Saccharomyces cerevisiae S288C: one gene and its partners. The gene in region 2 interacts genetically with the main gene of each other region. Each region holds a gene or a part of one and is shown on either strand. Other genes may lie near its edges. The genes, in order: DOT1, SIR1, RAP1 and SAS2.

Evidence for each region.
Region 1: mutations in SIR1 (region 2) and DOT1 impair growth when combined (synthetic growth defect), as found in Saccharomyces cerevisiae (3 studies listed by BioGRID, with this or other methods).
Region 3: of SIR1 (region 2) and RAP1, a mutation in one rescues a mutant of the other (synthetic rescue), as found in Saccharomyces cerevisiae (2 studies listed by BioGRID, with this or other methods).
Region 4: of SIR1 (region 2) and SAS2, changing one enhances a phenotype caused by changing the other (phenotypic enhancement), as found in Saccharomyces cerevisiae (6 studies listed by BioGRID, with this or other methods).

What each region holds. Positions count from the first base shown.
Region 1 is NC_001136.10:1,340,628-1,346,703, reverse strand, and holds DOT1 (histone methyltransferase DOT1), read right to left. Parts: upstream 4,212-6,076; coding exon 2,463-4,211; downstream 1-2,462. Other genes in the region: SSN2 (Ssn2p), read left to right, coding at 1-1,028; adenine phosphoribosyltransferase APT2, read left to right, coding at 1,642-2,187; LRS4 (Lrs4p), read right to left, coding at 5,985-6,076. UniProt on the Saccharomyces cerevisiae protein: Histone methyltransferase that specifically trimethylates histone H3 to form H3K79me3.
Region 2 is NC_001143.9:637,829-644,110, forward strand, and holds SIR1 (Sir1p), read left to right. Parts: upstream 1-2,711; coding exon 2,712-4,676; downstream 4,677-6,282. Other genes in the region: BAS1 (Bas1p), read left to right, coding at 1-458; SKG1 (Skg1p), read right to left, coding at 1,073-2,140. UniProt on the Saccharomyces cerevisiae protein: Involved in the establishment, but not the maintenance, of heterochromatic silencing at the cryptic mating-type loci HMR and HML.
Region 3 is NC_001146.8:237,856-244,672, reverse strand, and holds RAP1 (DNA-binding transcription factor RAP1), read right to left. Parts: upstream 2,985-6,817; coding exon 501-2,984; downstream 1-500. Other genes in the region: IES2 (Ies2p), read right to left, coding at 1-205; PPN2 (putative serine/threonine-protein phosphatase), read right to left, coding at 3,362-4,342; ssDNA-dependent ATPase MGS1, read right to left, coding at 4,672-6,435. UniProt on the Saccharomyces cerevisiae protein: Essential regulatory protein in yeast whose DNA-binding sites are found at three types of chromosomal elements: promoters, silencers, and telomeres.
Region 4 is NC_001145.3:521,145-526,226, reverse strand, and holds SAS2 (histone acetyltransferase), read left to right. Parts: upstream 1-2,881; coding exon 2,882-3,898; downstream 3,899-5,082. Other genes in the region: ATP-dependent RNA helicase ECM16, read right to left, coding at 1-2,531; DLT1 (Dlt1p), read left to right, coding at 4,438-5,082. UniProt on the Saccharomyces cerevisiae protein: Histone acetyltransferase (HAT) subunit of the SAS complex, a multiprotein complex that acetylates 'Lys-16' of histone H4 and 'Lys-14' of histone H3. The SAS complex is however unable to acetylate nucleosomal histones.

The DNA of each region.
Region 1 (6,076 bases), on a different chromosome or scaffold from region 2:
TACTGGTGACAGTGGATCAGTACGTCAACGTAGCAATTTCTATATATAACATGCTGCCGCCAAAATCTGTAAAGTTCACCCACATTGCGCATACGCTGCCGGAGAAAGTGAATTTCAGAACCATGCAGCAACAGCAAATGCAACAGCAACAGCAACAGCAACAGCAGCAGCAGAATAACAGTACAGGATCATCTTCTATAATATATTATGACTCGTACATCCACCTGGCATACTCGCGTAGTGTAGATAAAGAGTGGGTTTTTGCAGCTCTTTCAGATAGCTATGGACAAGGCAGCATGACGAAAACGTGGTACGTCGGGAATTCCAGAGGAAAATTTGACGACGCATGTAATCAAATATGGAATATCGCCCTAAATTTAGCGTCTAAAAAATTCGGAAAAATATGTCTAATTTTAACTAGATTGAATGGCATACTGCCGGATGATGAATTGATGAATTGGAGGAGACTTTCTGGTAGGAATATACATCTTGCTGTGGTGTGTGTGGATGACAACTCTAAAATCTCCTTCATAGATGAGGACAAATTGTACCCTAGTTTCAAGCCGATCTACAAAGACACTAGGTTTGGAGGACGCATGGATATGACCAGATTATACGACTATGAAATAAGGGATATAGACCAGGACATCCATGGAATAGTATTTCAGCACCCGTTCCCACTGGCACACTCACAGCATCGCTGTGCTATTAGGAGTGGTGCTTTGATCAAATTCAAAAAATGCGACGGTGATACGGTTTGGGACAAATTCGCAGTCAACCTTTTAAACTGTCCACATTCTGATAGTACACAATTGCTGGAAACCATCTTAGAAGAGTTTCGCAACCTGGCTGCTCTAAACGTGTGGTACGGTCTCTCTGATGGCGAAGATGGCCATATTCCATGGCATATCCTAGCCGTGAAAAAAATGATGAACACTCTTGTGCACACCAGAGTAAAAATTGCTAATACTTCCGCCGCTACTGTGCATACCGCTACTTCTTCATCAATTATTCTCTCGGATAAATAAACTTTTTCCGGCAACGTTTTCCTGCTCATCTGTAGCCCTATTTACCAGTTTTGGTTTTAGTATTATTCCGGGGTGTAAACCCAGAAGTCTATTTCTCCAGTCGGATTTATAAAAACAAAACCGGAAGCGGGGCGGTACGGCATTTTCACTGGTGATGCACGCCCAGCGTGTAGTCCGAGACAATTTCCACAGAACGCGAATGAGATTGCGTTTAAGGCTGTATTTTCAAGGCACACGAAGCGGCCACGTGGGTCTGCGATGGTGTGTTGATGATGTCAAGAATGGTATCATACTCCGTATAAGGTTATGTAATCGGAAGTCGCGATTCTTTTTCAATTTTTTCTTTTTATTTTTTTCCAGTTTTTTCGTCTCTGCGATGGAAAATTGTTGAAGTTCTCTTGATTAGCAAGTAGTTCTTACATCGCAGGAATCTTATGTTGCATAGCTCAATTTACAAAAATAACAAGGATAAATATATATATATACGCATATACTTTTTGGGTGTTAAAGTAAATTTTGCACCCGTTCATACCAATCGTTCAGATAATTTTCGCTCCTTAAAAAAAGAGAGTGCGTGTGTATATGCCTGTTCATTGCCTGTCCGCCTCTCATTATGTCTATTTCTGAATCTTACGCAAAGGAAATAAAAACTGCATTTAGGCAGTTCACTGACTTTCCCATAGAGGGTGAGCAATTTGAGGATTTTTTACCTATTATTGGCAACCCCACGCTATTCCAAAAGTTGGTACACACGTTCAAGACGCATTTAGAAGAAAAGTTCGGCAAAGAAAAGATCGACTTTATTGCAGGTATAGAAGCTAGAGGCCTTCTATTTGGGCCATCCCTAGCACTGGCATTGGGAGTTGGATTTGTTCCAATAAGGAGAGTTGGAAAATTGCCGGGTGAGTGTGCTTCTATAACATTCACAAAATTAGACCATGAAGAAATTTTTGAAATGCAGGTTGAAGCCATTCCCTTTGATTCCAACGTGGTTGTCGTGGATGATGTTCTCGCCACCGGTGGAACGGCATATGCTGCGGGCGACCTTATCAGACAAGTGGGTGCTCATATTCTGGAATATGACTTTGTGCTAGTGTTAGATAGTCTACATGGTGAGGAGAAATTATCTGCTCCTATTTTTTCCATATTGCACTCCTGATTTAAATTTGTTCTCTGCCTCCTCCTTCAATTATTTTCCTTTCCTTCGCATATTGCTACTTTTTAGCTTGAACTTCTTTTGTTAATATAAACTGGTACTTTACTTTTTAGGTACCTGGTCCACGGCGCCTTATCCTTCTTTTAATTCATATTATTACCTACTCTTATTCTCTCCCTTTCTATTTTTTTATTTTTTGATTTTTATAAGTTACACTTGTGTACATGTTATTTCTACTTAGTTATTCATACTCATCGTTAAAAGCCGTTCAAAGTGCCTCATCTGGTATACTTCACCGGCGTACCTCTGTTCCTCCTACCTCTTGCAGCAGGGCTGAATAAACTTTCGTCCACATCCTCCATCACTGTTGATATATAATACTCTCCGCCACTATGCGTCCATGAAACACTATCCTCCTTAAGATCATACCTTTGCACCTTTAATCTATTGAAGATGTTCTCAACATTGTAGAAGTTGATCTGATAAGTGAGGCTTCTTAAACTTTTCAAACTTATGATCTTACATCCAACTTTTGCCGTTTGTAGTATCTTTTCGACTTTTTTATTCAAATCTTCATCAAATAAAAAATTATTTACGAGGATAACATCGCACTGAGGAATTAGTTCAGCGACCCTGTTATTGTCCACAAAGCTTTTCTTCAATGAAAACTCCACGTTGTTCAAACGCATCCCATATAACTTACACCTCTTCTTTAGTTCCTCGTACTGCAGTATAGTTAAATCGCTAGCATCATCCATGATTTCACATCCGAAGCTTAATGCACATCCACATTCCAACGCAGCTTGTACTACGCAATTACCTACTCCCGAACCGAGATCCATGAAAGTGTCACCCTTCTTCAACTGGCATTGTTGATATACATCAGATAGGAAATTGGGCAAAAGTTCTCCATAAACATAATTGCTGAATGCTTTGTAATGTTTCAATTTATTCGCCTGCGGATGGATACTCCTGGTATAGACGATATGCAAGAAGTCATGAATGAATGAACGAGGAATTTTATCAATTGTTTCTAAATGGTCAATTATTCTTTGCCTAGGAATTTCACGAATCATTTTGTTGTATAAATTTATAGCATTCACGAAACCTTTCGTGTCAGAGTTATCAAATGATGCATTTAGGTCCGGTAGTATAGTTTCCTTCAATTGTTCAGCATAAGGTGAAGGTAAAAAGACCAGGCAGCTGTATTCAATTAATTTACCAATTTCACTCATTGGATTATAAATGGCTGTTGACCTTTTGAAGTCGACTTTGTACTCTTCCATATAATTTGAAAATAAAATACTCTGCAACTTTGCTGTCGTTACTGAGGAAGTGTCGTTATCTGATGTCAAGCTCGTTGGCTGTGGAGAATTTGTTCTTAAACTAATGGATTGTATAGGAGTTCCAGAATATATTTCATGTGATCTTAAGTACTCTATGTCAAATAATGGATATTGTAACCGTAGACACGGGCCATTCCAATCAACAAATGTTGATGAAGGACTATCGCGATCATTCTTCTTGTTTGCCCGACCTTTTTTCAATGGCTTTTTTTCTCGTGCAGTATCTATTTCTTGCTTTGAAATTGGGGTATGTTTATGGTTAGTCCTGCCATTTTTTCCTTTTACTTTTGCAGCTTTTGGCTTCTTTACATCCTTCTTCGTGGTGGTAGATGACTTCTTCCTTGTGTTTCTATTATTGGTTTTCTTGTGAATGGGAGGTATAACCTTCTCCACCAGCGGAACCAACCCATTATCCTTACCCTTGGTGTTTCTATCTCTTAAAAATCCTCGAGGTAAAGATGACCCATATATTGGATCGTATTTATTAGCTTCTTCTAATAAATTTTGTACTTGCTTAGAGAGAAGCGTACCTTTAGAATAGCTTGAAAGCGACTTGGTTTGCATATCGGTGCCTTTCTTCTCATCAATAGGTGATATTGAAGATTCCTGAGAGTCTAAGTTGGGGGACGACATAATGAATGAGTCTGAGTTATTATTTGATATACTTTCTTGACCGCCCATTACTGTACAACAAAATGTAACCAAAGCGCACAATTACTGGTGACCTCCTTGATGAGGACCTCAGTTATTTTTCAAGGCAATTAAGACGACGAGATGCCCTATATTCGAATTATGTTTATCTCATTGAAAGCACTTACCGGTCGATTTTTCAATGTCCCTTTTCATTGACGCGTGCGAAGGCGTCAGCAGGATTATGCATATATTGCTAAAAAAAATGGCACGTAAATCATTACTTAGTTTCTGGCTTGTTATACTATTGTGAAGTAAGTGTCTAAATTCAAGAACAGAAAAACAAAGAAAGTCACTCTACGGTCTTTAGCCGTAACATTTTTTCACTACAGAGAAAATTCATGCCAGAGCTCTTTCATCCATAAAAAGAGGCGACGACGCTTTCGACTCTGAAAATACAAGCTTTCATTGGAAACAATGTAGCGAAGCAGCTGACATTGGAATGCACTAACAGAAACTAGACAGACAGGTAAATGCCACACCATTAGGGAATATGTTTATTCCATCCTCTAGTTTTCTGGCAACAAATAAGATAAGGCGGTTTAATTACGTGAAAAAATCCTACCTACGGGTATTCACCGCTTCTTTCTCAAAGGATTTCTAGGAACTTGATTCGATCTCCAAGAGTACATCCTGGAATTTTATTAATAAAGCAGACTTCACTATCTATGACTACTTTTCAGATTCAAGTATGCCTATTCAAGTAGGAAAAATTCTCTTGCAGAAGAACGGCCAGTTATGGAAAGGGTAGAATTTATCGCTAATTTAGTAAGAATTGGAGAGAAGAAGTGACCGGGTGGCGATATTCTGTTTATTGTAGCACATTCACAAGGGGGGGGGGGAGTATCCCGTTCTTCAGTGTTCCTGTTGTCGTATTTAATATCGAATGGCATAATTCAATTGGATAAAGAAAGAAATGTTTTTAACTAAAAGATAGATTCATTAACAAAGCTTACAAGAAGCGCATGGCCTTCACTCGAATTGTTTAAAAACAAAGTGGTCAAATTATTCCAAAATCTTGAAAGACTCCCGTTCCTTGAGTTATTTGAGTTTCAAAGTTACATTTCTGAATTATCCCAACAGTTCTCAACAAGCTGGATGTTCTGGTTAATAGAGGTGTCAAAATTTCCAAGATTGGCTCATTGAACGATCAAGTGATGCTTTTTATTCTTCATCGTGGACTTTAGTGCAACATCCAAATATTATTTAGAGCGTTATATGTGCCTGGTGGATAACTTCAATATCCAATCTTTCTTCTTCATGTTATTAAATTATCAGTAAATTAATTAATTTAGAATACTCTGACTGTACCACGATGAAGGAACTGACTCAATTTTTTATGGGACCAATTTTAAGTGTTGGTTTCTATTTTTTACGAAGACAATAAAGTTTACAAAACGGGGATAACGTTTACGATAACGTTTACGATAACTTTTACGCTGGCAACATTGGGCACGCAAGGAAAACAACAAAATGTCAGAGCTACATAATTCAAAATGAATAAGGTTTGGTAGAAATTCATTTAATTTCCCTTGGTGCATAAAAGGCTCATCGAAGAGACTAGACTACACTTATTATGTGAATAGTTGAAACAGCCGTATCAAGAATACAACAATTGGGTACCTCAAACAGCCAAATGGAGAGACTTGAAAATATAAGCTGAGCGGCCTGAGGCAGTATTTATGGTAATTTATATAAAAAAAAATGCTAAACTGTTGGTATGTAAAAGAGAGAGGGAAGGGCAGGGACGTAGATAGCTGTTACTCATACAAACTCGTCAACATTTAAATTATTACTCAATTCTTCATCTGAGTTGGGTAACGTGGCAATTCGCTGCTTTGTGAGTTTTCTTTTCT
Region 2 (6,282 bases):
TAAGAAGTAACGGCAGTAAAACTAAGAAAAAAGAAAAAAGAAAAAGTGAATCATCTCAGCATCATTCTTCATCATCTGTGACAACCAATAAATTCAATCACATTGATCAGTCGGAGATATCAAGGACTACATCCAGATCTGATACTCCATTGAGAGATGAAGACGGCCTGGATTTTTGGGAAACGTTAAGATCCTTGGCTACTACGAATCCAAATCCTCCAGTTGAAAAGTCAGCTGAAAATGATGGTGCCAAGCCTCAAGTGGTACATCAAGGGATTGGCTCACATACAGAAGATAGCAGCCTAGGTTCCCATAGCGGAGGATACGATTTTTTTAACGAACTGTTGGATAAAAAGGCAGATACACTGCATAATGAGGCTAAGAAGACGAGCGAGCATGATATGACGTCAGGAGGTTCTACCGATAATGGGTCAGTCCTGCCACTGAATCCTAGTTGAGAAGGCAAGGCCGAAAAAAAACACAAATCTTTCAATTGTTTAACATATTAGTTTTGTAATAAGCATAAGTGTATATTATACATAGCACAAGATGGATAATATTCTCTGAAAAAAACGTGTAGTTTCATGACTCGCATTTTTTTTTTTTTTTCTTTCATGTTGATTAACATACTTGAATTCTGTATTTAAGCTGTATAAAAAGTTGTTCTATTTCATATACGGCGATTTTGCATAATTAAGAACTTTGCCTTGTACACTATTTTACTAGGGTATTCTTCCAAGATTTCTCTTCTTATTTTTTCCCTTTATAAGTCATTGTAGCAACATAATTTCCTGGAAATTTTAAGGGAATATATTTCTTTCCGCCCACAAACACAAAGGGCGTTTAGTAAATTATGCGGCGATGTATAAAAGAGAAAGCAGGCAAAAAGAAAATGAAAAATGAGACTATGAACTTTAAGAATTATGTCTTGACTAATTTTTTAAAACCCATCATCCATGAAGAGTTCTGTTTGTATTGTTTACGTTTGATGTTTGAAGTGAATTTAATAGAATTGTTCCTCTTTTTTTCTTCTTTTTTTAACTATAATATAATGTTTAGTATATCAACAGTACTATTTAGGCCTTAGACTTTCTATGAACTCTCTCTTACTCTGTGAGTAGTTGGTAAATTCGTTTTCGTATTGATCTTCCTCAGCAATTTCCCCGATATTGCCCACATCATAGTTATTCTGTAATTTGTATAAATCCTTATCTTTATCTGTTATTGCAGACCTGCTATCCTTTACCGAGTGGTCAGCATCCATTCCTTCGTTATCTTTATCAAAAGTGTTTGGTAACTGTGATTGAGCCGCACTTTTGGGTGTTGCAAACACATCCTCTAGGGCATCGCGCTTATTTACCGATGTTATAGAGGAATTCCTTGTATGGAAGGACGCGTTTGAAATGTTACCATTTAAAAACGAGGATGAAGCTCTCCTTGGGTAATACGAACCAAAGTCCTGATTCTGCAAATTTCTTATCAGATTTTCATTACTAGATTGGCGAGTATTATGTTTAAGTTCTATCATCGAAGCTTTGTTTTGGTCATTGCTAGTATTAGTATCACTGGAAGGATCTGCGAAAAAGTTTGGTCCTTCATCAGAAATAACAGGGACCATCTGATCATAAACGCTGATCTGTCTCTTTGTTATATGCCGTTGGGAAGATGATAAGGAAACATTGGAGCTGTTATTTATACTTGGTAAATCCACAACGGACTTCTGCCTGGCATTATTGCCGTAGTTATTATTTCGTACTTGAAGTAAATTTATTTTCCTACGGTATGCTGGCACATAGTATTTACTATTCTTTTTCCCTAACGGTTTCTCTTGATCTCGCGATTTTCCATCTTTTTCTTCTGGATGAGCAGATCCTTCCGATGAACCAGAAGTGTGATCAGGATTTTTTAGCTCGGAGCTGGCTAGTGCTGCTTCATCTTTACTGTCTCTTAAGGGTCCAAAATTGTCAAAGGACACGAAACCACTTTCATCATAAATAGCCCTTTCCAATTCTCTATCGTCTTGTTCCTCCCTCTTGTATCTTTTTTGTAGGTTAAACCAGAAACATACTGCTATTATAATACCTACACCGACGGGTATACCCACCGCACAACCCACCGCAACTGATGTGCTGGCAGTCATCTCTTTTACTTCTTACTACGATGAGCTCCCAAAAAAAAAATATATCCCTGATAAATAACACAAAACTAAGAAGCCGGACCTAGGTGAAGAGTAAAATAAGGACTCGAAATTTTGTCTAATACTCAATAACTCAGTACAAAAACTGCCTCACAGTATAAAATATCCAACTTAGAGATATTCGTTTTAATTGTCCCGAGCAGGCAAACGATAACTGATCCTTAGTCACAATAATAAGTCTATGCTTTCTGTTGAAAAAGAACAAATAGCGAGCGAGTCAGCAAGCAGAATCTAAAGAGGCTTGCAACGAATGGTAGGCAAAGAATTTCTAACCCGAAACCTCAAGCGAATGGTGGATTCCTTACTTCCAATCTTCTAAAAGTCTTTAACTCTGATTTCGAGGATCAGTACTTTTTCTATGGTTTATTAATATCGGCCTCGAAAAGTTTGTCGCGAGAATTTGGGCACATGTGACCCGGAATGTATATTGAGTAATATAAGAATGAGAACAATAATGTCAATAATCACACGTCGTTATAAGCAGCTGAAAAATTATAAGATAATATCAAAAAAAATGCTACAGATCAACTCCAGGCTTGCAGTTATTGATGGATGGCTGGTAGACACTGTGAAGCGAAAACCAATAAATTTTCGGAGTCCTGAAGTAAGATTACTGTTACCCAATGACGATGACTACAAAAAGCTATCACAACAAAACTTGGTGGACTGGACGCGATTAAAGAAGGATTCTAATTCGGTGCTCGTTGGAGTGAAATCTATGGAACTATTTAAACACATAAAGCTAGTTTTGCGAGAGTTTTTCTTGTTAGAAGATGGAAGAATAATTCTGAAGAGGATCAGAAGCAAATTACGTTACAAAGTTGTCAAGAAATTAACTTGTAAATGCTGCAGGTTATATTTACCAAAATGGGGCACCGTGTACATACATCCGATGCTAAAAGATAAAGAAAAGCCCTTAGCGGGGGTATGTGAATTTTCATTGGATGTAAACCCTGATCGGGAGTATCCCCTTATTGAGATCAATGTTAGTCATCAATACATTATAATTGAGGGCTTCCTTCTATACTTAAATGAAAGGAGGCTCTATAGGTGGAACGATAACAATTTGAGGAGTCAGGTTGGCTTAACAAAATGGGCCCATTTAAGAAAAACTTACAATCCGGTAAGCCTTGACATACTTTATAGTTTGAATTCAAATTTTTATTTTGTAAAGGATGATCTGCTATTTCAATTATTAGGAAAGAGGGTATTTGTTAAATTTTGTAAAGTAATGGAAAATGGAAAATGCGGTAAGGCTCCACTGTGGTATCGTGTGAAGAGAACGACAACTGCCAAAGCAACACATATTGCATATGCCATATCAAATTCAACAGCCCCAGATTCATTCAAAAGTAAAAATAACGATTATAGGTTTATTGTCAGGGAAAAGCCAATTGTGGAGAATACTATCTCCAACCTGGATTATTCAGACATAAAAAAACAGCAGTTTACTGAAGCAGAGGTTGTAAAAAGAAAGATCTCAGCAGATATTTCTCAAATAGAGAATGTGCATACGCAATTTAATAGTCAAAAGGAAAAAAATAATATCAGGGTGAATAAGGTTTCTAGCGAGGTCCTAGATCAAATTTCGAAATTTCCTGTGTCCAGAGTCACCTTACTGTTGATGTCTGCTGGTCAAGATAAAAATTATATTGAACTTGTTGAAGAATTGGCAAGAAGGTTGGAAAAAATATGCATAGAAAAAACCACACAATCTTTAGAAGAGATAAGGGATACTTTTCAGGCGAATCCTGAGATGCAGGCTAGCTTTGATAAGGAATATTACCAGAGCATTGAAGAATATAAAATTACACTCGAACTTATTAAGGAAGACCTTTTGATTACTCTGATAAAACAAATGGAAAATATGTGGGCAGCTGAAAAAAAGTTTAGTACAGAGGAGGAGTATGTTTCGCCGAGGTTTTTAGTAGCAGATGGATTTCTAATCGACCTAGCAGAGGAAAAACCGATTAACCCAAAGGATCCGCGCTTACTGACACTGCTAAAAGATCATCAGCGTGCCATGATTGACCAAATGAATTTAGTTAAGTGGAATGACTTCAAAAAATATCAAGATCCTATCCCGCTGAAAGCCAAAACCTTATTTAAATTTTGTAAACAAATAAAGAAAAAATTCCTACGAGGTGCGGACTTCAAGTTACATACATTACCTACAGAAGCAAATTTAAAGTATGAGCCGGAGCGGATGACAGTTTTGTGTTCCTGTGTCCCTATTCTTTTGGATGACCAAACTGTCCAATATCTGTATGATGACAGCATTATTCCTGAATTTGAAGCAACATCTTCATATGCAACAAAGCAGTCAAAGTGTGGGCGGAAAATGTCTTTGCAAATGGAGCCTGACCTCCTTTTTCAAGAGGCCATTAGACGGATGCGACATTTAACTGCTTATGACGTTTTGAGAAGAAACTATATTGCGGCATTTGAGGAGCTATATATGGGAAACTGTAACGATTAAATAGTTGGTAAGATTATCAGTTATGGATACCAACATATAAGCGGGTGATGTCTCATTTCAATGAGGTCAGATAACTGGTACAGTTTCGCCTTTAATACACTTGTTTGACAGAAACTTGTTTTTAATTGCTTGATTAGCTAAGTAACTCGAGCCGTACTGTAGTACCGTTAAATATATATTATGTAGGACTTAGTAGAATATACTAATAATAGATACTGCAATTGATGATCCCAATTACTGTTTTATTGACTAACTTTCACTGAAATGTTTTCATTCTCTGATTTTATATTTAGTTGGCGAACTAGCTCATCCTAATTATAATTAAACTTATATATAGCATAAACCGACAATAATGCGTGGGTGGTCCTCCATGCCGAATTTGTGAACTGAATTATTATCTAAGCACTGGATCGATCACCTTAAGATGATATATTATTTATAACTAAAACGCAGCAGCATTACACTCCAGAGTAACTCCTGAATTTCGTCATGGCATGTACTTATACTATATAACCAACAAAGGATGACTGAATAAGAACCAAATACTTTTCAAGAGATAAGATACGCGTTGCCATTGTTCGCAAGGCAGATCAAGAAGCTTCCTAGGCCTGTGAAAAAAGGAGGAAAAAAGAAATGAATTTTCTAGCTGTATTTAGATTGGATTTGAGGTTCACTAGTATAAGCAACAGCTCCAGTTCTTTAGTCAAGTGCCAGCTTCCCTTGAAATATTAACCTCCCTTTTTTCTTCGTAAACCACTATTATGACCATCGGCCTGTTAATAAGGAGAAAAATAGAAAACTGAAGCAATAGCGGTATCATAAAGCTGACCGTGTAAAGTCACCACTAACCTCCCAATAAACTCTTCCAACTCTGTTTTTTTCAAAGCTAGTGGTGCATTTGAACGCTATTTAGGATTCCGATCTCTTCAGAAACATGCTGATTTAGAAGTAGTCAAATTACTTATAGGCGTGAATTTCGAAATTGATCTCTTAAGCAGAATTTAGTTGTATCAAACTATATTCGTTTTGGAGCGCATATACTTTACATTTCGATGCGTTTAACGTTGCCTCTGTTCTTTTCCTATTAATTCTATTAGATAAGTTTATTTCCATCTCATATAAAGAAGAACCTGTCGAGGTTATATGATCTCTTTTCCGTCTTTTTACCGATTCTGGTTAGTGTATGCTTCATTTGAGTTTCTTGCACTGCTTTGCCGACCAAATATGGAAATCATCTATTTTAACTCTATTATTGAAGAGGCTTTTCCTGGCACATATAAATATGAATATAAATGTTGTGCGGCTGTAATATTTGGCTAGAATTACCAGCCTGATTGCGGGTTATATATTGCCTTCTTTTGGACATTTACTCCCGGTGTAATGTTGGCAGCAGTAGTACCTATACCTGTGTGCCACCCGTTTGGATATTACTATAACTTCAAAATATGGGAGGATTACTTTCTCGAAAGTTGCTAAAAAAATCATTCGGGAATTTTCGCTACAGATTAATCAAATGTAGCTCGACAGTCTTCATATTATGAGTTTAAAAGTTCTTTAATATTCTTGTACATCTCAATTGTTATGTCAACCAATTACCAGTTAAAAA
Region 3 (6,817 bases), on a different chromosome or scaffold from region 2:
CCACAGAAAGTTCTTTATCTCTAATGCGTTTTGAGGTTCTTACACCCTTAGGTACACTCCTACGTGCTGTTCTTCTAGATGATTTGGCTGTGACTATCTGATCGTCAATATCTTCCGTATAATCATCATCGTCAATGTATTCTTCCCCACCAGCTGAGACGCTGTCGGATAACTCTGCCTCAATGTCACTTGCTTCACTGTCCATTGTAGTCTGCTAATCGCCAGTTATTTGCTAGTTAGGCGTTTTATCCTTGAAGAAAAGACACGTTAAAAATGAGAATCTTCGTTCTGCGTTATACTTTCCTCCTTTTCTTCTCTCTTTTTTGCTAATGGGATTCTATAAAACTGTTCCGCCTTAATCATTGTAAGAATTTTGAAAATTAAAATACGTAAAAGTTTACATAAATTATACATTGAACTGAAAAACAAAGTAGAAAACGTGAATCAGTGAAATAAAGGAGTAAAATAAGTTAAACAATGATGTTACTTAATTCAATTACTCATAACAGGTCCTTCTCAAAAAATCTTTTCCTCATTTCCATTCTACCAGTTCCATGCTTTTTAACCAGTTTCCTTATTTGTTCTTGATCATTGCTTTTTAGCGATTCGTCGTCATCATGTGTCCAAATACCAGGAACGTTGGGAGGAGGATTAACATTGTCCTTAAACATGTTCAAGAAATAGCGAGGAAAGACCATCAGATCCCCGGATAAACACGTCAATATGCTCGTACTGAAATTTTTACGTATACCAGTTTCATCGCAAAGATCCTGTACCAGTTTTTCAGCCTGTGATGGCTCATAATCTCCTGAAATAACTTCATGAAGTTTATCCATAAATTGTCTCGTACTGCCAAAATGAAAGAACAATGGCAGGAAAAGATCTGTTGTTGCAATTTTTGGTGGAAAGCTTATGGTATCAGGATCAATATTATCATATATATCTTCATTCGAAAAATCGCTTCTTATAGCTTCCGCAATCTCGTGTGGATACTCAAAGGGCAAACTATTTGAAATATTGGATAGATCATTCTTTAAACTGGAAATGAAATTCATGGTATCTTCGTCCAGTAATTCGTTTTCTGGTATAGCGTAAGAGTTGGAAGCAGCGGCAGCAGCAGCGGCAGCAGCATTAGCGGACGCTGCATTGGCAGTAGGCTGAACATTTCTTTGAGAACTATAATTTCTTGCCCTCTTGGCGGCAGAGTTATAATTGCCAGGAGTGGGAACGCCAGGCCTCTTGGGTCTATTGGTGAGGTTCTTCATCGGTTCCGGCTCTCTATTCTGAGCTTTTTCAGCTTCATAATAACTAATATAATCATCAATGCCGTAAGCGAGAAGAAACTTCCTAAACCTATCTCTCCAAGCATTCTCAGTATGTGCTGCATGCTCTTCGGCAAAATGCTTGAAAAATTCTCGTGCAATCGGTCCCCTACGGCTTTGGGTTCTGTAAGCTGCAAAGTTGGGTTCACTCCCTGGCACATGATTTGGATCCATTGTCATATTCCTCCTCGCTATAGCAGTGGGTGTATCCTCATCTGTGATAAGTGATCTTCCAGTATCAGGGTCGATTTGAAACAAATCACGATAAAACTGCTTCTTGACCGCGATTGCCAAAGTGTAATCTTCATCTGCTGAAAATTTCCTTTTAATTGATGGTGGCAAAACTTTAGTCTTTATCAGATTTCCATCGTCGTCTCTAACCAATTTACCAAACTTGTCAACCTCATAAACGTACTCTAGTCTTTTGGAAAGATAGACTCTAAATCGGTGCCTAATAGAATTACCCGTGTGGTTAGGCACATAATGGGATATTTCATCGTAAAGAGTATGTGTTGTACGCCTGGTTGGATTTTTTCTCACAACATCCAAAATAAACTCATCTTCCTCATCTGTAAAAGAAGCTTTATTGTGGGAGGGCAAAGCGCCTCTCGAAATCATGGACCTTTGTGCTTGAAAAGATGCATTCCCCTCATCTGCTGTTTGAGGGTTGTTGTCCTGTGTCAAAAGATCATTGTCTTCGTCGTTGACGTTGCTATTATTATTATTGGAGGTATCTTTTTGAGGTTGTTCGATCTGGACCAAGTCATTGTGCCCTCCGCTTGTGATTGATGCGGTGCTGCTTACATGTTGACGAAGGAGCTGAGCTTGCTCTTGTAATCTAGCTTGTTGTTCAGCGTCTACCATAACTTTTTCGCTGGTTGAGTCTTCCGTAGCGCCATTAGTATTCGTAGAGATTATTTCTGTTTTGGGCCTGATAGAATCCTTGTTATCGCTATTGCTATTGCTATTATCTACACCATTAGAATGCGATTCCTCCTGCAACCTACTATCGACAACTTCTCTAAAGTTATCGTATGGTACTAAATAATTTTCCATGTTCAGTAGCGAGTTGCTTTGACAACATGCCTTAATATAAGTCGGAGTTACCGTTGGTAAATTGGTATGATTATAGGGTGACACGATGAAAACATTCTCTTTTGATTCTCTTGGCTTGGAGTCTAGCACTTCACCACCGTTTGCTCTAATCAGACGCGCTAATTGATCAATATCATTTAAAGAGTCATGCGCATCCGCGTCGCGATTAAGATAGAATTTCATATTTGACAGAGGAGGACCACTTACTTGTTCCTTTTTCTCATCAGCAGCGGTGTCATCAGTAGTAGGTTCAGTAACAGATGCACCTGATGTCGAAGCAATGTTAGCGGTAGCAGCAGTATCAGCAATGGAAGGCGTGGTAGTTGTTACACCGACTTCAGTGGTATCATCATCATCTTTCTTTTCGACCTCCGTCTGATCCACTTTCTCACTAGTTTCAGCAGCAGTAGCACCAGTGTTTTCTTCGTTTTGATTAGCTTTTACCTCAGCGGCTGAATCCGATGGCGCTGTGACTGCAGCAGAACCACTGTCAACAACGACCATACTCGGATCCAATGCATCAACATATTCTGCTGGTGCAGTTTCAAAATCATCTGGACTAGACATATTGAGATAATCTGTACGCAAATAGTGTCTTATGTAGGGCGGTTGCGTATACAACGGTTTGTGTTTACTACCTTTTGGGCTATGGGTTTGTTTTGTTTAAAACGTGTATTGATGGTGTTTAGGTGCTGGATGTTGGGTGTTGAAGAAATGATTGCGGTTGTCTGTTTTCGGTTTTGTTTTCTTTTCTCGCTAAATTTTAAAACTTCAACAACGAAGAAGAGGCGGGTAGCGGCCATTGGGCAAGAATACTTGTAGCTCCAGCGAAAGTTTCATTGAAATTTAAGATTCAGTATTATGAGTTACATAATAATATTCATATCTTTTTCATATAGTACATTATATAAAATCTGTTGCGCTTTTAAGTAGTACTTTTTGTTTTAAGAGCATTGTACTTGAATTAATTCATAGTCATATTGCCCCTTCTTAATATCGTACTTCACTTTCATAGATGAAAGCAGATTGTTCTTTATACATGCTGTGTCCAAACCTTTGGTCTGTCTCCGTAGGTTTAGTCCCATGGATGCATCGTGCCCGTAAAATACTTTGGCGTTACTAAAGTGGTCTCCGTATTTGTCCCACAGTGTGTACCATCTCACATAATTCTTGTTTTCCTTTTCACGTGATGTTTTTGACCAGTTCTTCTTATCAACGTACTTCATGTTTGACAGAGAGCTCACGCCCGGAATTTGGTTGGGCTTCATGAAGTCTCCCGGAACCATCCCTGCATGTGCACCAAAGAGTATATCACCGGTAATATCCAGATCTAGTTCTATGGCCATAGAACAATGTTCCGCTAGCTGACTTAATTTGGAAAACCCAAGTTCGCGAGCTAACCGTCCATGTGCGTTGCTGATTTTAGAGATGTCTTGTGGTATGAAATTAGTCTCCGTACTGAAAGTTAAAGGTGTCATTAATTTGGGGCGTCTTACCCATTTCGAGAAGTCTGGGTTTAAATAGGCCATCATGACCAATATTTCATGATTGCCCAAAACGCACTTGACTTGATCCTTGTGATTTAGAATATACGACACGACCTTGTCTGAGTCCGGGCCCTTGTGAATAAAGTCACCCAGCAATATCATTGTTATATTTTCTCCTAGTCCTCCAATCTTGTCATCAATGAGTTCTATGAACTCATCATAGTTACCATGAACGTCACCAACAAAAACGTACTCCTTATTTAAATCTGTTACATGCTCAATTTTCTTCAAGGTGCTAATTGTAGGCAATAAGGAAACTGGTGGAGACAACCGAGGGTTATCAAACTTGAATATATATAGTGTATAAACGCAGCATGCCACAAATAATATCAATGCTGTACTAAGTGTAGCGGCTCGTCTTTTCCGCTTATCTTCCATTTTTGCGTATCTATGCTCCTCAAGCCTGGCTCATTTTACAAGCTGGAAGGTCGAGGAAAAGGAAGAACTAATTCAAGAATAATGTGCTCTTCTTATAGGATGCGTATATGTTCTAATATATCTCAGATGGGCCCGCGAGACTTTTCTAGCATGAAAAAAAAAGGTGGATCCTTGATTATCTAAAATTATAGTTTATATCGTTCATGCTGCACAAAAACGTGCCAGCAATGCAATGCGCCTCAAGCGTAAAAAAACAAGCGGCATTGGCCAACAGAGAAAAAAATATGAATTGTAGACGCGGCATTGAGAGAAGTATGGAAGACCCTTGACTAACCCTGATATGACTGTCTCAAGTCAGGATCTTCTTTGTCTCCTAAATGTTTGCCGTCCAGGAACTTTAAGTCAGTTTTATTTGGACATTTCTCGAGCACTTCTTTGGGAAAGTAGTCTTGTTGGACTTTTCCTTCAATATAATCGGGATTGTACTTGTAGCCTTTATGATAACCCAGCTCCTCCATCAATTTGGTTGGCGCATTTCTGATATGCATCGGTATCTCACTGCTTGCTAAACTGTACATGTTCTCGCTCATCATTGCCCTTAATTTCTTCCAAGCTCTATATAGTTCTACTGACTTTGGTGCCCTAGCCAAAGCAACACAACATTGCGCCAGTGCAAGGTCTGCCTCTGGCAAACCAACTTTCATTACTGCGTCATGTGCCGCGACAGCCAAGGGCAATAATGAACTATCCCGTAATCCGATATCTTCAGAAGCTATTCGAATCATTCTTCGGGCAACATACAATGGGTCCTCTCCTCCCTGCAACATTCTTGCTAAATAGTACAGTGAGGCGTTTTCGTCCCCACCTCTAATGGATTTATGAAACGCAGAGATTGTATCATAATGGTTATCTCCCTTTGGGTCATAGTATGTATTCAACCCGTTGCTGCTGTTGTTCTTAATTATGTCTCGTACATCATCGATAGATAATTCTTCCTCGTCGGCCTTGCGCTCTCTTGTTGAAACTTCGATCATTTCCAACATATTTAACGCCCTCCTTGTATCACCCACCGACAGATCTACCACGTACTCCAGTATGCTTCTAGACAATTTCAAAGGATTTTCAATATTCCATACTTGTTTCCTGCATTTATTCAATAATGCAATTCCTCTTGATAAAACAATACACAGTTCGTTGACATTCAGCTTTTCTAGGACAAAAATCAGACATCTGCTAATGAGAGCATTGTTCAGCTGAAAACTTGGATTTTCTGTCGTTGCACCAATCAAAATAATGTCACCGTTTTCTACGTGTGGCAATAACAAATCCTGTTGAACTTTATTGAATCTGTGAATTTCATCAATAAAAAGTACAGTTCTTCTTTTGGTCAATTGATATTCCTTTTTTGATTTTTCAAATATACCTCTCAATTCTTGCGTATTTGCCTTTGTCGCACTTGTTTCGATCATGAAGTACCTGGAACCAACATTTGATTCATTACTACTGGTTGTCGCAGTTTTCGTTAATAGTCTAGCTAGTGAAGTCTTTCCTACACCTGGAGGGCCCCAGAGTATCATAGATGGTATAGTCCCTTGTTTTATGTATTTGAACAATGTACCATTATCTTGAGAGAGAATGTGCTGCTGACCTACATAATCTCTTAATTCTTTTGGCCTCAATTTTTCACTAAGTGGCAAATGGCTTATTTTCTGCAACCATCTGCTTTCGTAATCGTTGTGAAGTTGATCTCTGCTCGAAGCAGGCTCCACTATTGATTTCGCAAAATCCGTGGATGGTGCTGCCTTAAATCTTTTGCTTTCATTTTCAACAATCTCAATATCATCACTCTCGCTCTTAAGACCTGGCTTAATTTCATGGTCCTTATTTTCAAGATCAATGAATTTCTCTGAGTTAGCTTGTTTCCTCTTTTTTGGGCCTGCCAAAAGACTTGACACCGTTTGTGGCCTACTCGAAGGCTTTGACTTTTCCTTGCCACATATGTCAAGATGAGAGTTGATTAAGGAAAAAAAGACTTTTCTAGAGCAAATTGGGCATGATATGAGCTGTTCTACAGATGTCCTCTTGTTACTCATTGAGACTGTGCGATCCTGTTTCAGATCTTACCGCTAGCGTTCTTCTGCTAATAAGCTATTTTTTACCTGTCGATGACCTACCTTAAAACACGTTTCGTTTAAGACAACGCGTACAGTTTCACAAGGAAAGCAACCGATGATTGAATGTCAATTAAAAAACAAAAAACAGATGTTAATTTTAACTGGGCTCTCAATATCAAACCGTTATAGTATATGATGTATCTAAACGACCACTTATCACTTGGATATGTTGTCAAATCCGTTTTGCTCTTGCGCATGTTATACCTACTTTTTACTATCTACGGCGGGCATCCTGACCCGGCTTATTTACTTGAAAATGCAACAATAAGTCCGTTACGCAATATTGAATTTTGATGAGAAC
Region 4 (5,082 bases), on a different chromosome or scaffold from region 2:
CTTAAGATTTCAGGTTTAGAGAACTGTTCGAAATCATGTTCAAAAACAGCAGACGAATATAAACGGTAACAATGGCCTGGTCCAGTACGACCTGCTCTACCGCTTCTTTGATTGGCACTAGCTTTACTTACCCAGCCCACTTCAAAACTCTGTACGCCATTTGATTCATTATATTTACGCTCTTTAGACCTCCCGGAATCAACAACATATCTAACTCCAGGTATAGTTAACGATGTTTCTGCAACATTTGTTGCAACAATACAAAGCCTAGAACCTTGAGGAGGTTTTTGAAAGACTCTCATTTGTTCCTTGGTTGGTAATAGAGAATACAGTGGAAGGACATATAAAGGATCGTTAGCTGTTTGCCCTTCAGTTAGGACTTCTTCAAACCCTTCTTCCTCTTCGTCTTCCTCATCTTCACCGTTTCCACTGTTACCTTCATCTTCTTCGTATCTTATCGCGCTCTTGAACTTATCTTGATCGATAACTTGTACACTGAAGTCTATATCCTCAGCCTCCAAATCTGTTGTTTTTGAATTGATACCCATTTTAGAAACGGGTGTTTCTAAATCTTTGTTGTACTTGGAGTTTTTCTTAAAAGGAAATTCCTTTCTTAGCCTTTTTACCATGTGTGTAATTTCCTGCTGACCGGTTAAAAACACCAATATAGCGCCAGGAGGAAGTTTCTGGTGAATTTTGCAAGTCTTTCTGAAAGCCTCGTCTGTATAGTTGAATGCAGTTCTACGATTAAAGTGAATAGAGACTGGAAACTGCCTTGCATCAACCTGTAAGACAGGGGGCGCTATGGGGAACAATGTTTTGTTTTCGCTGAAATCTGATACCCTTAATGTAGCTGACATGATGATGAGTTTTAGCTTCTTGTGCTCGATCGGGTTCTCCTTATGTAGTTTAGCTCTTAACCGAACACAACGGCTAAGCATACCGATCAAAATATCAGTGTTAATGTTTCTTTCATGTGCTTCATCTATGATAATGGAGGAATATTTAGTCAACTTGAAATCGTGCATCATTTCTCGTAGCAAGACACCATCTGTCATAAACTTGACCTTTGTGTCCTCCTTTGCGGTAGAGTCAAACCTAATTTGGTATCCTACTTTATGACCATGGTCCCCCAATTCATTAGCTACACGTTCAGCCATGGACACAGCGGCCACTCTTCTTGGTTGAGTGATACCCACCATTCCTGGGTAATCTGGAGAATCTTCGGCACCAAACCCAGCCTCATATAAAAATTGTGGGACTTGTGTAGTCTTACCTGACCCCGTTTCACCACAAATAATCACTACATCATTATGGTGAATAGCCTCCATAATTTTGTGTTCTTCACCAAATACTGGTAGTTGAATTCTTGCTTTCTGAATTTCATCTGATCTGCTAACTTCAACATAGAAGGCTTTACGGGTGGAATTCTCGTTTATTGGAACATAAGCTTCTTGGAGACCATCATCTAAATCTTCCTTTCTAATTATCGGTTTATAATCGATGTTCAAAGTGGGAGTAACTAGCTCTTGATCTCTACCTTCCAATTTTTTTATTTCTTGATTGGCCCAATCCTTGAATTCGTTAGCAACATCATTTTGGTCAAATTTTTCTGAGCCAGTTTCACTATCTGCGCTTTCAACTTCTTCGAGTGGGTTTTCACTAGGATGCATTTTGTCTTCTTCTTCCTGATCCTCCTCTTCGTCATCATCTTCAGATGTCGTGTCGAAATCCATTTCATCTTCTTTCCCATGCTTCTTCAATTCTTCCATTTCTACTCGTTGTCTCCAATTATATTTCTTCTTCGGAGTTTTGCTTTCTTTGTTTATGACTTTTATATTGCTAAACCCAAAGCTAAGACCAGATCCACCAAATTTTGCTGGTCTATGATCAATAAAACCTGATGATTTCTTCTCCTCATTGTCCGTTGGTTTCGGCATACTACCAAATGAAGCCTCGAAATCATCTTCGCCGTCATCATCCTCAGAGCTCCCTCCTTCACCATACTCATCCCAAACTTTTGGTTCATATTCTTCGTATAATATTTCATTTGTTTGTTCATTTCCTCTTCCTTGACGTTCTAAACTCAGTGCTTCTTTGAATTCTTCCTTTTTAGTCTGCCTGCCCTCTCCTAACCTTTTAGAGCTTGTCAACAAACTTGTATCTATCTTATAATCTTGAAGTTTACCAATAATTGTCTTTCTTTCCTCTCTTTTTAATTGATGTTCAATAAATTTATCCAGTCTTTTCTTCTTCAATCTCGAAACTTTCGATTCCTTTGGGGTAAATAACTCCTGTAGTTTTCTTTTCTTCATTTTCTTTTCTTCTTCAGTGAGAGGTTCAAGAATTTCCGCATTGGCATTTGGCTCCGTAGTAGAACTCTCAGCGGGAGCTGAATCTGGGTTTTCTACTCTTTCATCGTTTTCATCCTGTCTAGTGAACTGCTTATTCCTAATTCTTTTCAGTTCTTTTAATTTGGCCATATGGCCGGATCTGGCTTTTTCATTAAACCTTTTTCTGTAAGTACCCATACTTATATTTCTTAAGACACTCTATTATTAGTATTGGGTTGTAATTGCATTTTTATAGCATATAGCACTTGCTATTAACAATAATATACTAATACTATAATGAGCTTTCAATACTCAGCTCATCGCCAATGAAAATTTTCGGAACACCCAATCATCATGATATGTTAGGCGCGTAAATATGAAGAATAACAGAATCGTTAATCAGAAGAGATGATGAAATCATTAAGTCTTGTCCATATCGAACTGGATAGAGTATGTAGCGCTCTAAGAATCTGTTAAATTGAAGTTTGATTTTTTGATATTGGAGGCTCCTATTTTCTAGTTGCTTTTTGTTTTCACTCGCAAAAAAAATGGCAAGATCTTTAAGTCAATCACTCACAGCGACTACCCAGAAGCTAAAAGGAAAGAAGAATGGTGGAAAAGGCAAGAATAAGCCCTCAGCAAAAATTAAAAAAACTCAAAAAGAGATGCTATATGGAATACTGAACGAAAGGAACATAAGACAGATTCAGTTTGGACTGAATAAAAAATTCTCTACTTGGTATGGGAGCGCCGTTTATTTCGATCCTGAAACAAAAAGGCTAGGGTGCTCCGAGACCAAGGGTCAGCTTTCCTCTGTTTCTAACAGCCAATACTGGCTAGACACTCTTTTCGTTTGTGAATACTGCTTCAAATACACGGATGATCAGACGCGGTTTGTAGGACATGTTGCAAGTTGTCCATTTCAATATCGTGTTCCAGGCAAAATAAAATACAAGAGTCCTGAATATACAATAAGAAGAGTAAAAGGATCCAAGTATCAACTCTTTTGCCAATGTCTTTGTCTTTTCACTAAGCTATATCTGGACAATAAATCCATGTATTTCAAAGTAGATCATTATGAATTTTACATAGTTTATGAAACTGGATCAACAAAGCCGATGGGATTCTTTTCGAAAGATTTAGTGTCATATCAGCAAAATAATCTAGCGTGCATCTTGATATTTCCCCCATATCAACGACGTGGATTAGGCCTTTTACTTATCGAGTTTTCATACAAACTATCCCAATTAGAAGGTGTAATATCAGGGCCAGAAGTACCGTTATCACCTTTTGGACTAATCGGGTACTTGAAATATTGGTCACAGATACTCTGTTGGCACCTTATTGAAGGTGACCTCGCCCATTATGATAAAGTGACCCTGGAGGATCTTTCCATCGTGACTGGAATGAGAGTCAATGATGTTATTTTGACCTTGAAGCACTTGAACTGTATTGGGGAGAATAACCAAATTTACTTGCAGTCATTGAATAGCTGGTTGAAACTACATGGAACAAAACGGAATTGGTTCAAATTAAAAGATGAATATTTGCTGATAGATGACTAGGAATCTATTCAGGATGTAACTTAATGGCATATGTATTTCAGGATAGAATATCGCTCGATGAATTCCTGTACAGACAACTACAAACGGACGAATTTTGTCTGACCAAGTTAAGAACAGAGAACTAATGCATAAAATTTGTTTTGCTGCAAAAGTTTCCCTTTTTTTAGAGTATAAATATCTTTTATAGCAAAAGACTTAAAACAGGTTCACGTTTTTATTAGCCGTTTTTGGGCCGGTTTTTCGATGACGAACAAGGACCAAACAAATACAGCATCAAAACAAATTCTAGAATAAGAAGGCAGAAAGGGTAAGGGCATAAAGGAAACCTTCTTTTGTGGTGATGTTGAACTGGGTTTAGCCAAAATTACAACACATATTAAAGTTTTGTTATTTTGCGATAAAGTTATTGCTCTTGAGCATCAAAGAAAGTGGGAGGTTAAACAGAGGAAAACACATTGAAATTTATTCAAAAAAAGATACCGCTATACAACTTTGGCCTGATACTATCTATAGACACGAGTGTCCATACTTAGCAGTAGATGTCCGGATTCGCAAAACTCAAGTCGTGGTTATACAAAGCTTCCCTTTTCGTTTCTTTGATACTTTTGATTGGGTTTTCAGTTGTTTTACCCATAGATTCCATTGCACAAGCTTCTAAATCAGAAAACAATGCCTTTAATACGTTCATTGTTGTAGGCGCTTTAGTTGTCTTTGGCGTTTTTTGTATCTTTATTATTATTGGAAGAATGCTATTTCATAAGAGTTGTTTAAAAGATATACCAAGAAGATATATTCCGATCACACCTGCTGATCTCCCGCATCGTTCTAGTAGGGAAGCAGTACTGCAGAACATGGAAAGATCTAAAGAATTAACAATTCTTCTCAAAAAACCTAAAGACCCTGTTATTCACGACGGACTTGAGCCCCCGAGGAGATGTGACTACCCATTAGATGAAAAGTTATTTCCAGAATACCTAAACTATGCTGATTGTATAAAAAGTTTAACAGATAGACTGAAATACCATGGATTGTTTCTGAACAATTTAGATGTTAGAATGAATCTAGAAGATACGTTTGCCGACGTGGTGAACTCACAATTTGTTAATCACAACGCCAATAAAATTCAGTTAGAAAAGGCGAAGGAGTTTATCGATTTATATGAAACAATTAGATTTTCAGGGAAG